Oreochromis niloticus: one gene and its partner. The protein of the gene in region 1 purifies or fractionates together with the protein of each later gene. This does not show direct contact. Links are inferred from orthologs where the notes say so. Each region holds a gene or a part of one and is shown in the gene's direction. Other genes may lie near its edges.

Evidence for each region. The genes of interacting proteins can lie anywhere in the genome.
Region 2: the proteins of hspa12a (region 1) and akap12b purify together in Homo sapiens (affinity purification with mass spectrometry; 3 studies listed by BioGRID and IntAct, with this or other methods). This does not show direct contact. The link is inferred for Oreochromis niloticus from reciprocal best matches to the Homo sapiens genes HSPA12A and AKAP12.

What each region holds. Positions count from the first base shown.
Region 1 is NC_031978.2:32,299,126-32,306,844, forward strand, and holds the start of hspa12a (heat shock 70 kDa protein 12A), read left to right. Parts: upstream 1-4,684; 5' UTR 4,685-5,009; coding exon 5,010-5,052; intron 5,053-7,719. UniProt on the Homo sapiens protein: Adapter protein for SORL1, but not SORT1. Delays SORL1 internalization and affects SORL1 subcellular localization.
Region 2 is NC_031980.2:11,539,591-11,546,590, forward strand, and holds the start of akap12b (A-kinase anchor protein 12b), read left to right. Parts: upstream 1-3,961; 5' UTR 3,962-4,155; coding exon 4,156-4,290; intron 4,291-5,621; exon of another isoform or gene 5,622-5,654; intron 5,655-7,000. UniProt on the Homo sapiens protein: Anchoring protein that mediates the subcellular compartmentation of protein kinase A (PKA) and protein kinase C (PKC).

The sequences.
Region 1 (7,719 bases):
CAAACAATGAAACTCCCATTGATTGATCTATATTATTAAATACCTCATTAATCAATATGGAACATATTATTGGACTAACAATACTTCTTTGTGGAGTACCAATCTGTACCTCATAACCTGTACTGAACTCTTTTCCTACTCGTTCAAAAATTCCTGATCCATTTCTACATTTTTCCTTTAATATCAATCTGATGCAGCTTGACCAGGAGTCCTTCTTTCCACATCCTATCATAAGTCTTCTCAGTGTCTAAAAACTCTCCTTGCCTTACTTCATGTTGTAGACACAGAGCTGGATCCATCTTGCTTCTTCTTTCCTAAAACCACTCTGAGGATATTTGATCTTACCATTAGTTTCTAAGAAATAATCTTTCATTCACCATTGTTTCCATTATTTTCTCCAAATGAGATGTTAAAGTTATCGGCCTGTAACTTTCAGCTAAGCTCAGATCCTTTCCTGGTTTACAGATGTAACAAAACAGCCTTTTCTCACTGAGTTTTTTTACTTTCTTCCCACATTTTGTTAAATAATTCTACTATTATACTCTTACCAAAATTACCAAGGTTTTTAATCATGCAATAACTAATTAGATCTGGTGCTGGAGCTGTATTACTTTCTTTAAAGCATTATGTAACTCTGCTATTGAAAACATGACAGTTATCAGTCTTGTCGGGCCTCCAAATGTTTCCTTTGTGTTTCTGCATTATTTAAACTTTCTATGCTGTGAACTTTGCAAATGTTCCTGCCAATATTTCAGCTTTACTTTTGTTATCAACTATTTATCTTTCATTATCTTTAATTGTTGGATAACCATATTCTTTTCTGTAGACAGACATATATTTATTAGTTGTCCAGACTCTCTCCAAGGTGTTACAGTATTTGATTCCAATATTCCCTCTTATTCCTGTTTTAATTATTCTTCTAACTTCTGCCTGTTTCCTTTTAGAGCATTACATGTTTAACACATAATTATTATTATCAGTGTTTTAAATGCTTTATTCCTAGTGGTAATTATGGCTTTACATTCTTGTGTCCAACACACACACAAGAATGTAACACATTAACCTTTCCTTTTTATTACCTCTTTTCTTTGGGATAGACCCTAGGATAGACTTTAAAGTTTAACTGATTAATTGGTTGATCAAAATCAACATCTTCCATTTCCATGTTGTCATTATGATGCCCCCATAAAGTGCTGTGTGAGTTAAAGTCACCACACCAAACTGTTCTCCCTCCAATCTCTGACAATTCATTCCATTTCTCCCTTCTTTAACTTTTTACATGGATTTTAAAAATGGATTACTTTGATGCTTCCTTGCTTAGACCATACCTCCACAATCATTACTTCTAATTCTACTTCAGTGGTTAGTTGATTATACTTAACTCAATAAACATTGCACATCCTCGTCCATTTCCACCAACTCTGTCTTTGAGTATCCTTCGACAACAAAATCTAGAATTAGTTTAAACCATGTTTCTTGTGTACACATGATATGACATATGATGGGTTTGAATGTAATGCACACATCTATGCCCTGAAGCTCCTGTCCGTTTGCAGTTAAGCTCCTGGCGTTCTATTGAAGGATTAACATTAAGGTATAACTTGGGAGTGTGATGAACATTCTGGATGACTAAGATCCCAGGACAGATCCTTCATATTGGAGAACTGATCTTTTCTGTTTTTGTTTTGGCTCGTTCTGAACCGTTAATGACAAGTTTGACCGTTTGGACAAACTGCTTTTTCCATCTGTCCCTCTGTCTGTTCCTTGTTCTTTGTCTGATCTTCTTTCCTTGTTATTTACCTTCTTCAAAGCTTCTACATAAGATACTCTTTCCTCTGCTTCGTTACCGTGCAGCCACCATATGCTGCTGTACGAGCCCCTCCACAGATGCAACATTTAACCTGATTACTGCCACATTCACCATACGCATGTTCTCCTCCACATCTCACTTTTCCTTTGCACACACTGGCTATGTGACCAAACCTCAGACACTTATAACACCTGAAAAGTGAAAACATAAACACGAACACTAAAACTCATGTATTCCACCACGACTTTCTCTGGTAGGCTGTTACTTAAACTCATGCAGCACTGACAGACCATCCACTTTTCCTCCATTTCTAAAAGCTTTCAGTCTTTTTATTCCAGTGATCTCTCCTCCTTTGGTCATTTTCCTCATTTCCTCAAGATTTTCCCCAATGAGAATACCTGAAATCACTCCTCTACATCCTTCCTTCTCACTGACTAAATCAAACAAACAAACACCACACCCACTGTAACCATATTAATGTATTTCCTGGTAAAACGTGCATCCATACTCTAATAAGACATAATACTTTCCTCAAATGACACAGTGTGTAGTGTCTTATAATCCTTAATTGACTGTCTTTGGTAGCATAAATAAGCAGGTCAACTAGTAGTTACAGTATGTAAAGCTGTTAAAATACAAGGAAATATATAATAAATGCTGCACAGTAAGGATCTGTAAGACTCCCGCATGTCTAAAACCATAACTTTGAATCATTTAACCAATAAAACTCTTAAAAGTCATAAAATTAATCAGCTATAATTATGTGGCTTAATAATAAAACATTAGAATTCTTGGGCAGTCAAGAACATAGTGTCATTGTTAGTGTGCAGTAAATGTTTATACACAAATGCATATAGTTATCTTAATAATAAATGTAAGTTAATTTCCATCACTTATAGTCTTCTGTTCACTCAAATGCACCACTTCCAGTTCAAGATACAGATTAAGGAGGATGCCCCAGTTCACCTGAAAAGTTTGGTACCAGTGCCGCAGAAAGTGCTGGAGCTGGGAATAACTAAAGTTCCCAGTAGTTGGTGGTGCATCCGCACTGTTCCGACAAACAGAAAGATTTTTGTATTGGTTTCTGGTAAATAAATGCCTTTTCTAACTTTCATCCTAGAACTGGTGACTGTTTGGATAAAGGATATGCGGACACCACCCAATCATTTCCTGTTCCCACTACTGAGAGGCCTGGTTGGATGGTATAGAAGAATTTGTGTCCCGATTTGCAGAGAGAGTAAGTTGGGTTGACTGACCTGAGCAAGAAATTGGGCCCTAACAAGGTACACTGAACAGAGGAATGTGAGAGAAGCCATAAACCCCCAGCCTGTTCTCCACAGCCCTGACTTTGACAACCAATCATCCTGCAAACAGATGCAGAAGGGGTTCTTTGTTTGCTGCTCGAAGAGGCCACTGGTGCTCTCAGAGCTGCCATGTTTGCTGGTAAACTGAACCTTTGATCAATAAAAATAAACTTGGGCTGTACTGAATTCAGTCTTTGCGACGGGATGCCATGGCAAAGACTAACGCCTCTCACAGATACATTGTCCAAGCTTGATCAAACATGCATGGTAATGTCCTCCCCCTCAACACAATTCAATTGCAGTATTTGACAATGGCCACAGTGCCATGTAGCGGGAACAGGAAATGTCACGTTTTGCATGTTGGGGTACAGTTTGAAGGTGGGCGCCCCCGGAAACCACAAATTTGTCCAGAAAAGCATTAAAAGTTGGACTTGTGTTACACTGTAAACTGTGAGCTTTTATGCAAAAGGCATGACCCTGGCGGCACGAAGAGCGATATTTCTATAACACACAGAAATCTAGTCCAAACTTTACAGTCATGATGACAGTCCTGCCGTGAACACACTGATATGCCCACTGTCAGCATAATTTAGAGCGCCACCTGCTGGAAACAAGAAATGTCATGTCAACATGTTGCCACTTAAGAAGCATTACTCCTTCTCTTCTGTAGGGCTAGCTAGATGCTGAAGTACTGCGACTAGAACTTTTGGACATCTGCACTCGTTCCGGTGTTGTGCCCCTTCACCCCACCCCACCCCACCCCACCCGCACACAGCGCTCTCTTCAAATGTTTGAAACCCAAAGTATTAAGGCTGGTTTGAAAAAGTAGAAAGTATAGATATTTGTGTTAAAATCTAGGATGTAGAAAAACATGAGAAAAATAAATACTCGAGTACAGACAGCTATGAAAATAACGTACCTGCAGTAACAACGTATTTGGACTTCCTTACTTCCCACCTGTATTATAATGTTAAACCCCCTTATATACCATTTCACACAGACTGTCACAATCTGCATGGGGTATGCAGATTGTGTTTTGTGAACTGGACCAAAGAGAACCACACACACGTAGAATAATAACAAAACCTAAAGACAGTAAAACAGAAGTATCCATCCATCTTATCCGGGCCGGGTCTCAGGGGCAGCAACCTAAGCAGAGAAGCCCAGACCTCTCTCTCCACAGCCACCTCCTCCAGCTTGTCTGGGGAACACTGAGGCATTCCCAGGCCAGCCGAGAGATGTGTCCCGGGTCTTCCCCAGGCCTCCTGAAGAGCCCAAAACACAGTAATAATCAGCAGACTCGGGACCATGACAACAGACATGCAAATACTTTTTTTTTGTATTAAATTGGAGGGGGGAAATGATCGACTTGTATGAATCTAACCTGAATGTATTTCACGTATTCGCTCGTTTGGTAACTTTTTCATGAGGTTTCAGTTAAACTAGTCTGAATGCTGGTACAGTGGGTAGTGGGGGGTACAGCGGTAGTGGGGTACAGTGGGTAGTACTGCATCTTTTGCGGCTGCACCGAGCAAAGCTGCGTCAGACCGGACAGGGGCAGCATTCCTGGTCAGGACAGCCATGAATGTGATGGGAGGGGCGGGCAGAGCAGCAGCAGCAAATCTGGGGTCCAACATCCTCTGTGCTGAAGCTTTTCTGCACCTCTTCTGCTTCTAGACCCTCACGAACCTCAGCCCTGTCCACGAATATTTCCAGGTCTTATGCACACAACGATAGGCGGTAAAGCGAAGCTCGGGGTGGCACCGCGTTAGTGACGAAAACCACATTTTGTTTGATTTTTCCCCACTTTGGCCCGGTGTGCCTCAGCAACCAGGAAAATTGCTTGGTGTAGCTGTATCGGAGAGAAGGCTCGAGAGGAGGTGAAACTGCGGGACATGATGACCGAGAAAGACGCATCGACAGAGAAGATAATCACAGGTGAGTTAGCATATCCCGTAACGTCTACAAACACCTTTGTCGGTACAAGCTGCGGTACTCTGATAGCAGTTACGCAGCAGCTTTTCGGTGTAGTCGCCTGTCAGACGCGGAACTCTGATATTTGCCCGACTGTGGCACTTTGCGCTTCGATCTAGTTCTGGCCAAAAAGCGTATGCGACACCTTTGCTGCAGTGCAGAGAGGCTGTGTGAGCTATGAAACCCTCCCTGGGTTTCCAAGGACACTCGTGTTGTGCGGGACCTCGCCCGCTGACTTGCACCGAGCAGGAACATGTAAGAACATGGCGATGTTAAAAGTTCTCGCTTTCTCTGGCTCGTGTTTTCCGACCGAGCTCGATGTGGCAGGTCGTTCCCGCAGACACAGACCAGGTCTGTCCTCCATAACGGTGCGGGGTTCGGTCACGTGGCCCATCCCACCGGAGCTGTGACTCAATGCAGCAAAAAAAGAAGTCTGCACCACATCCTCAGGTACTGCTCATCCCCGCCCAGTCGGAGCTGGTACGGCGTGTGATGGAGCTGGAGTCCTGAGCTGTGTTTCACGTCAGCGGCCTGCACAGAGTCTGCTGTGTTAAAGTTGGTATCAGTGGCTTGCATTGGGAAATCTGTCATTTTATTATTGCTTGCTGAAATAACATAATTGCCAACAGTTCTGTCTTTTGCACTCCAGATGTACATTTAAGCATACCAACCAACATTTATCAGAATCAGCACACTTTATTAATCCCTAAGGACATTATGTGGGTTACAGTTGCTCCACTATAGTAACAGAAACAGAATAGACTATTTAACAATACAATATGTTACAGATTTACAAATATAAGAAAGACTTTTATTTTGACAGTTTCAACCTGTAGGGTCATCCGGCACCATTTTATACGATGTACCCCCCCACACCAGCAGTCCTGTACCTATAGCATTTTAATGATTTCTTGTTAGGGCCCGAGCACAAAAGTGCGAAGGCCCTATTGTATCTGCTCTGTTTCTTATTATTATTATTATTATTATTATTATTATTATTATTATTATTATTATTATTATTATTATTATTATTTCGGCAAATGAATCGGCCTTTTGAGGGCCTAAACATGCTCGAAAACTCATGAAATTTTGCAGACGCGTCAGGTCTGGTGAAAATTTACGTATTTTAATGTCCGTAGACATGTCCAGGGAAAATTGGCTCAGTAGCGCCACCTAGAAAAATGAGAAACGCGAGCCCCCGAGATGGGTATGACCTACATGTATAAAACTCGGAACACATATCTAGCGTTCGGAGGCGCACATAAAAGTCTATTATGGCCATGTCCTAAACCCAACAGGAAGTCCGCCATTTGGAAGTGAAGGTGACATTTTGGCTCTAATTTTGCCATTTCCATGCCTCGAACTTTTGCGAACTCCTCATTGGAATTTCATCGTACAAGCTTCATATTTGGTCAGTGTCAACTACACACCTGGGCCATGTTAAATTGCGGAGCTTTTGAGTTTTCGGGTTACTGTGAGGCCGTGGCGCCACGGCGAATTTCGATGACTCGCCATGAAAATCTTATTGCCTCTCGTTCTGTCATACATTGTCCGACCTTGACCAAAGTGGACACATATGATAAGGCTCCACCCCTGAACATATTTCAACTGCCATATTTGACACCAGGGACAGCGCCACCTAGTGGGAACAGGAAATGTCATGTTTTACACTTTGGGGTACAGTATTGTAATGGGTGACATCTGCAGCCTCAAATTTCTCCAGGAAAGCCTTAAGGAGTTGGTCTTGGGTTACAGAGAAAACTGTGAGTTTTCGCTGAAGGGTGTGACCCCAGCAGCATGGCGAACATTGAGGTCTCGCCATGAAGAAACAAATTAGTGTAACTCAATGAAATCCAATCTGATCAGTACCACATTTTACAGGGATGATGTCAGACCCGCCCTGAACAGATTGATATGCCCATTGTCAGGAATACGTAGAGCGCCACCTAGTGGCACCAGGAAATGTCATGTCTTTCATTTTGTTGTACTGATTTTCACAGGTTCATCGTGGCCACCTCAAAAGCGGTGAATATCACCATCAGTCCCTCTTGATGCTTCAGTGAGAAAATTGTGACTATAAACTGAACGGCGCACCCTGGTGGCAGCGCAGTTCACCATGAAAGATGAAGTGGCTTTTGAGGGGCTTGAAAAGTTTAAAAAGTCTTGAAATTTGGCGCACACCTCTAATGTGATGAGGGATTTCTTTTTATATGTTCATTTTCCTTGAAGAGCGCAAAATGGCTCCACAGCGCCCCCTACAAAATTTCAAAACAACAGCCCCTGCTCTGTGTTTTATGTATGAGTTTGAAACCTGGCAAGCTTATTGGAGATATCAAGATGTACAAAAAAGTCTCTTGGAGCAATATCCCAAATCCAACAGGAAGTCAGCCATTTTAAAATTAATGTGTAAATTTGGCGACATTTTCCCCTCTTTTCAGGCCTCATACTTTGACGAACTCCTCCAAGGGATTTCATTAGATTTACGCGATCTCCTGTGTGTGGAATCTAAAGACCTTTGTGATGTTAAATTGCGAAGCTTTTTACGTTCAGGGAAACGGGGTGGTCATGGCGGCACGTGGAGTTTCACTCACTCGCCAAAAACCAGTAACCTGCTGTCGCTCAAAAACACAA
Region 2 (7,000 bases), on another chromosome or scaffold:
ACTGTGTATTTCTGTTTTTACGTCAAGCATCTGACATGAGCTGTTTTCTTGCTATCGTCTCGCGATTCTTTTTGAGATGCTGCGATACAATCGTGCCTCCTTTCACGGATGAAACCTTTAAGATTGTCTGTGCTTTTCTCATTTCTTCCCATGTGTTTTGGAACGGTGTCTGAAAACAGATGATCCCCACCCCCACCCCCCAGCAGCACCCCAGGGTGCAACATCTGTCATTATGAGGTGTTTGGGTTTTCAGCATGAAGCCAAGTGTGCATGTGTGCACATGTGTCATAGCTGGCATTCCACACTTTCAAAGTCTCCGTGTTATTCTGCGTGTTCACCTGGCAGTGGGAATCTTATACAGTAGCACCCCAACAGCAGATTTAGTGTGTGTGTGTGTGTGTGTGTGTGTGTGTGTGTGTGTGTGTGTGAGAGAGCGAGAGAGACTGAACCCTCTTGTTTTGATCTGATGACAGATTTAAAGATGTGTTGATAAGCTGTACACTTTGGCATTGCACTGTAATGCGCTGACAGATCCTTGTTTTGTTCGGTTAGAGTTGTTTACAATGAGTTTTTGACTCCATCTGAGAAATTGTTTAGGCTCTCATCTTTTAGCACTTCTGGACAGATTTAATAGATTTTCCAATTTCAGTACCAAGGACAGTGTCCTGTTGAATATTTCATGTGAGAGGAATTCCAAGAGTTTCTGGAAAATTGGTCCAAATAGTTGAAGCTGAATGATCCTGGTCCCCAAACATCCAATTCACTCTCAGTTGTTTCAATACCTTTATACTAAAAAAGTGCTACATTAACTGGGTCCTCTATTGAAAGTTATTCAATTAGTTTAGATTCTAGCTGCTCAGCAGTCCTGGGTCTATATGCTATGCTTCTCAAATAAACAAACTGGTTCATATTCTAGAGCCATCCAGTCTGCAGAAAACTATAAAGTGGCGAGTATCTGCTTGTGAATATTGCTGAACACTCCCTCCTCTAAATGTGCCTTTAACGTACCCTTACGCTACTATTTCATAGAGCTCTGAGCATGACATATCTAGTAATGCTTTCAGTGTAATGAGAACATCCTTCCTTTTTCCTCTTCCATGTGACACCGGCACTACAATACTGCTCATTTATAGTGTGGACATACCCTCTGTCTTGCTGTCTCAGTTGGTGTTCATGAGTTTGTTCGAGATTTTACAAGATTGTCAGCTCTGCTTGACATCTGAGTGTTATTGTAATACTGTGTTCAGTTACTCTTCTTGAAATCTCCACATTCCTCTTTTCACTGTGGCCCAATAGCTCTATCTTTTCTCCCCAAAACTTTTCTTTGGCTTGTCTATGCGGACAGTAAATGGCAATGTAGACTGGCTTCACTGTGGACAGAGTTCTAGCACTTTCCATTTCATTGCAAGCTTGAGCCTTAGTGGTTCCATGATTGTTTCTGATCATCCTAACCAGTTTCCCATTAATCTTCCCAAAGTCCCGACCTAAACCCTACTGAAAACTTGTTGGCTATGATTTCCTGGCGTGGTCCCAGCTTCTAAGTAATCAAATCAATGAACTATACCAATTATCCCAAGAATAGTGGGCAAATATCCAAGCAGAATTATGCCAGAAGCTTGATGATGGCTACCAAAACTGGACTGATCGAGGTGCACCTTGCTAAGGGACATTAAACATCACTTTGGCTGCATCAGAACAATGATGTTACCATTGTTTATTAGATTCAGACATTTTGCCTTATCTTCTAGACATACTTACATTTAAATCAAATCTTTCTGGAAGTCTCAAATAAATCCCAGTCAAAGCCAGTTTACAAAGTCAAAAGGGTTTTAAAAATTCAAAGATGGAAGTCTCCATGACACAAAGCTATTTTTACTGGAGAAAAAATAAAAGATGTATAAAGCAGCAGTGAGTGGTCATAACAATCAGTGTATGTTGCTTTAAATGAGTCCACCTTATATTACCAGTAAGTAGCAGATGATCTCCAGTCCCTTTCAGCTCATGTTGCTGTTATTGTTTCATAGTTGTATAATGTGTCCTGTGTGTTTTACTGTTTGACAGGTTATATCCTGTTATTTCTGAGTGTTTCTCTGTGTAAAGCCTTCATTTGTGTTGTTGCACTACGTGCTTGGGTTTGTGTTTTGGTTTAGCTGTCGGGACCTTAAGTTTAGGCGTGTGTGAACTTGGCTTAAAATTTTGGACTATAATTTTTGTGTTCAAAAATTCCAAACAAAATGACACATTGACTCAACCTACAATTACAATTACCTACAAACCAGTTCTGTAAACCAGAGTAACTGTACACACACTTCATCAGAACAATGAATCACAGCAAAATGTAAACAAGATTAAAAATCAGGATCTAAAGAGATGTCAGAGAGATTACGTCATGGAGCGAATTCAGCTGGAATAACAGAGACACTGTTTGTTGTGTTGCAAGTGTTATGAAGGTTGTGTTAGTGTTTTCACATGAAGCACAAGAAAGATTGTTTTCTCTGCAATACAAAATGAGGTGGATGTCAAAGTAAAGCCAGGAGAACCTTTTTAAACAGGAGGAGAAGTCTTACCCTACCCCTAGCATCCTCTTCTCTAACTTTGTCTCCAAACTGATCAACCTGAGCTGTCTCTCTCATGGATATGTAATTCTGTCTATCCTGCATCTTCAGCTCTGCCCAGCATGTCTAAATACCATTTTGCTGCCGTCATTCTGTCACAATTCACCCTGCCACTCGTCGTCACTTGTTTGCGGGTCCTTCTGCATTCAGTTTTGTATTAAATATCTGAAAAGCATACTCTGTTTGGGTTAAGATCAAGTAACTGATGTGGCCATTTCTCATTTCTTTGTGAGACAGTCTCAGGTTGCTTTTGCAGTAAGCTTTGGATCATTATCCATTTGGACTGTAAAATGCTGTATGATTAATTTTGTAGCATTTGTCTGAATCTGAGCAGAGAGTGTAGCTCTGTACACTTCACAGTTCATCCTGCTATTTCTGTCATCAAAAAACACCAGTGAGCCAGTTCCTCTGCAGCCATACATTTACCTTCCTCCACTATGTTTGACCGATCACAAGCTGTTCTCTTTCCTTCTCTCCATATTTTTCTCTTCCTATCATTCTGGTGCAAGAATTACAACATTTATATATCTATATCTATATTTGGCAAAGTCAAATCTTGTTCTTGAGTGTAACCAGTGGTTTGCACCTCTTGACCACCTTTTGTTATCTTCTTTTCTCGTGTTAGATATTCCAGTGAAAGCTACTAAATGCAAGTTCAATATTCTGAATGAACTAGATCTTTGATTAAATTTGTCATGACAACAAGGGAAGAGGTCTTAGCTGCTTATCAGTCAGCTGACCAATTCAATCTGCGCCTCTGAAAATCGGGCTCTATGCATAAAAATGTCTTTAATTCCTAAAAAAAAAATTTAAAAAATGCATTTTTGTTGTTAAACCACTTGAATTACAAGTCTGCACTTTTCTCACACTTTGACTTATTTAAAACTCATTGAATGTGGAAAAAATGTGTCATTTTCCAGCAACTCATGGACCAAACTGTAAAAGTGCACAGGTAAATTTTGTCCTTATATATGCTTCCTGTCACCAAAATCAAGAAATAATGTGCACCATGGTTTGATTTTATTTCACTGTTTTTTATGCCCAATGACTCTTCTTAATTTCTCTTTTTACCAGTGGCATCAGTGGTGATGTTTACAACTTCTGCTCAAACTTGTCGGATTTCTACCCTCGTGTCATTGCTGTGTTTTTAAAATTGCTCAAATTTAATTTACCAGAACAGAACAAAACTAACGGATTAATGCGGCGTGTGAAGAAAAGGCCCTTTATCCTTTTAATTACTTGACCTCCTCTTCCCTCGTTTGTTTATCCTCCATCCAACTCTGCTCCTGCAAGGCGTGCCGCTGCACACCGGAGCCCCCCATGTGATACTGACGGGAGATGCAAGAGGTGGGGGCGTCCTGAAAGAGTTTGCCAGTGCCGACGCTTCATCACTCCAGATCCAGGCCACCCCGGGGCGGAGCTGCATCGTACATCGGACGCTTTGGATATTCGCTCCCTAAACACAGTCGTTCTGCTCTGGCTCCGTTTATTGCGGAGGCTTATTTAGACCGAAAGTAGCCAAAGACGAAAAGAGTTGGCCATGGGAGCACAGAACTCAGCGCAGCAGGACGGGAAGAGCCAGGAGGATGCCTCAGCCTCAGCTTCAGCCTCCGCCGGGGATCTCAGCGCAGAAGTGAAGGCGCACCAGGAGGGAGACAGCGTCCTGGACAGCAAGGTACAGCCGACACTTGCGCCTTTTTAGCTCTGTCACAGTAAACAAGACCCCCCCACCCCTGCACGGTGAGCAGAGAGACAGACCCGGGGGCGGGGGGCTGTATCTGCGTATGCTTCCAGCTGTAAAAGCTGTCGTTTTGTGCATTTATTGTGAGTTCACCTACATGTTTGCAAACATACCTGTCGCCCCCCATCCCGCCCCCCAGCCTCAAATCATGTGCTTCGCTGTGTGCATGAGTAATGTGCTGCAGCGCACCAGCTCCATGTGCGCCTGACGCTGTTTTTGCTGAGTAATGGGTCGAGTCTGCAGTCCCGCAGTAATAAAACGCCAGCAGCAGCTCAGCCTGGTCCAGGTTTACAGCCACACAGGGCACCGTTTAGTCCCGGATAACGAGCATATTTTTCTTTATAGAGTAGGAACTGATTGATTTGACCGCTTTCGGCCTGCTTTGACCGGGAGAAATGACGGATGTGATTCTCACAGGGACCGATGATTGCATAATTAATGTTCCTTAACAGCAAAAATTGACAAAAGTTATTTTTATACTTCATCATAAACTATTAATCCCAATGTTCTTTGTAATTCCCACATCTTTTTAAAGATGGCACAAAAAGGTAAAAAACAAAGAAACCCCCAAACAATTAAAACTAAGAAAATAAAATGTGTTAATAAACAGAAATCTGATAGATACTCAGATTTTCATTACATAATTTTAAAACTACATGCATTACAGTTCAAGAGGTGGTGTTGTTAGTCCAATGTCAATGTTGATGTTAGAGCACTGAAGAAACACCTGTTTTTATTTTATCTCTGCAAGACAGGAAATAGTTAAAATGCCTGTTATGATGTCTCAAAGCCCAAGATGCCACCACTTTAACAGTCTTAGACACAAAGATGAAAACATTCAGTTTTTATCTAGCGCCAAATTCTTTTGGAGGAGAAGGTTTGGCATTTGTGCTTGAGAAATGACTGATGGGGAAAAAATAAACAGGCCCACTGATCAGCTAATTATTTAAACCTTTCCCTTCAAATGAAATCCAATCAAATCAAGCACTTTGATCTCGTGACTCAGCTGTTAGGAGTAAACAGCATTAAAATGCTTTACATTTCCCATAAGCTGGGCAGTTTTCCAACTCTAGTGTCACATTTAAGTCAGATGACACTTCCCGAGTCCCTCTGAAAGTGCAGGAAAGTGCAGAATTTAAAGATAATGAATGTATTTTTATTTCTCATTAACTTTTGTTCTGTTTTTTTCCACATTTGAAATTAAAAGTATATAAAATATTCCTATTCCAAAAAGCTAATATGCTGTTTTCACTGCTTTAGCCCTGCACCATGCTGGGGTCCAGCTGCCACCACCTGAGGTATCCTGCAAACACTGCACTCTTACCAATGTGTCAGTTGCTCAGTATTGTGTGAATGCATATTTGGAAAGTGCCTACTAAGAACTATTTATGTCTTCACCTTCTGCTCTGTTCACGCCTCACATAACCCATTGGATTTATTGAGTGTTTTATAGATTAGAGGGCAACAGGTTACATTTTGTGGCCCATCTCAGTCTCTTTAAGGTCAGCAGAGAGGTCACATGATACCTTGGGTGGGGTAAGGGGGGGGGGGGTACATTAAGAATCTAATCCAGATTTGAATCACGGTCGTTGCTTCTTGTTTATTTCCAAAGAACGTCTGTGTGGCGGTTGGACGTTTTAGCCTCAAGCCTCGAGCTCTTATCTCAGGTGTCATCATGGATTGCAGTGTTTTCACTTGTATTTCCAACTAACTGTGGGGACTTTGTGATATGCAATATTTCAAACCTCCGGGGTGTTTTAGATACATCTGTTATTCTCTGTGATTTCAACCGTGACAGGTTGGAACAGTTTGTGATTCCCAGTCTACGTCTCTGTCACTGACAGTAAATTTCCAGTCATGCTGTTTTGCTTTTTCCACATCAGTTATTACCAGCTAGTATCAAATATTACTTAATTTGTGGAAAAAAATGAGAATTTGTAGGACAGATCTTTATTTCTAATTGGAGCAGAGTCATGGATCTTTAAGGAGACCTTTTACGCCCTCCAAAAAAAAGTGAAATTTACTAACTTTTCCTCTCAGTTGGAGCGAGCTCACTTTGCACGCTGTTGCAAGCATGAGCCTCTAGTCATGGGTAAATGGATGTTTTCTTCTCTAGTGGTTTGTTTAGTATGTGTGGTTCAGTAAAAGGAAAATACTACCCGCATGGAAACAACACTGAAAACAAGGTTTGTGTGTTCTTGAGTAAGAGTCACCACTCGCAGAGATGATGTTGCTGCTGAATCTTTTGTCACTTCCACTGAAAAGAAAACACATCACATGTCTAAAATGAGAAAAGGAAACATTTTGAGAAAAGTATCAGTTCATTTAATTTCTTCATTCGTTCTTTTGCCAAGAGTTTGTTGGGGAGACCTGGATGGGAGCATATGTTGCTTTAAATCCTTTGTATGCCTTTCAGCACTGATGGTGCCTTTCCAGATGTGCAAGCTGCCCATTCTATAGGCACTACCACACTCCCATATCATCAGAGATTTAAGCGTTTGAGTGCTGATGACACGCTCTTTAATGTGTAGAAGAAGTTGCTGTGTCCACGTTTTCCTAAAAGAATTTCACATTTCGATTTGTCTGACCACAGAACAGCCTAAATGAGCTTCGGCCCACTGAAGGCATTTTTGGATCACAGACA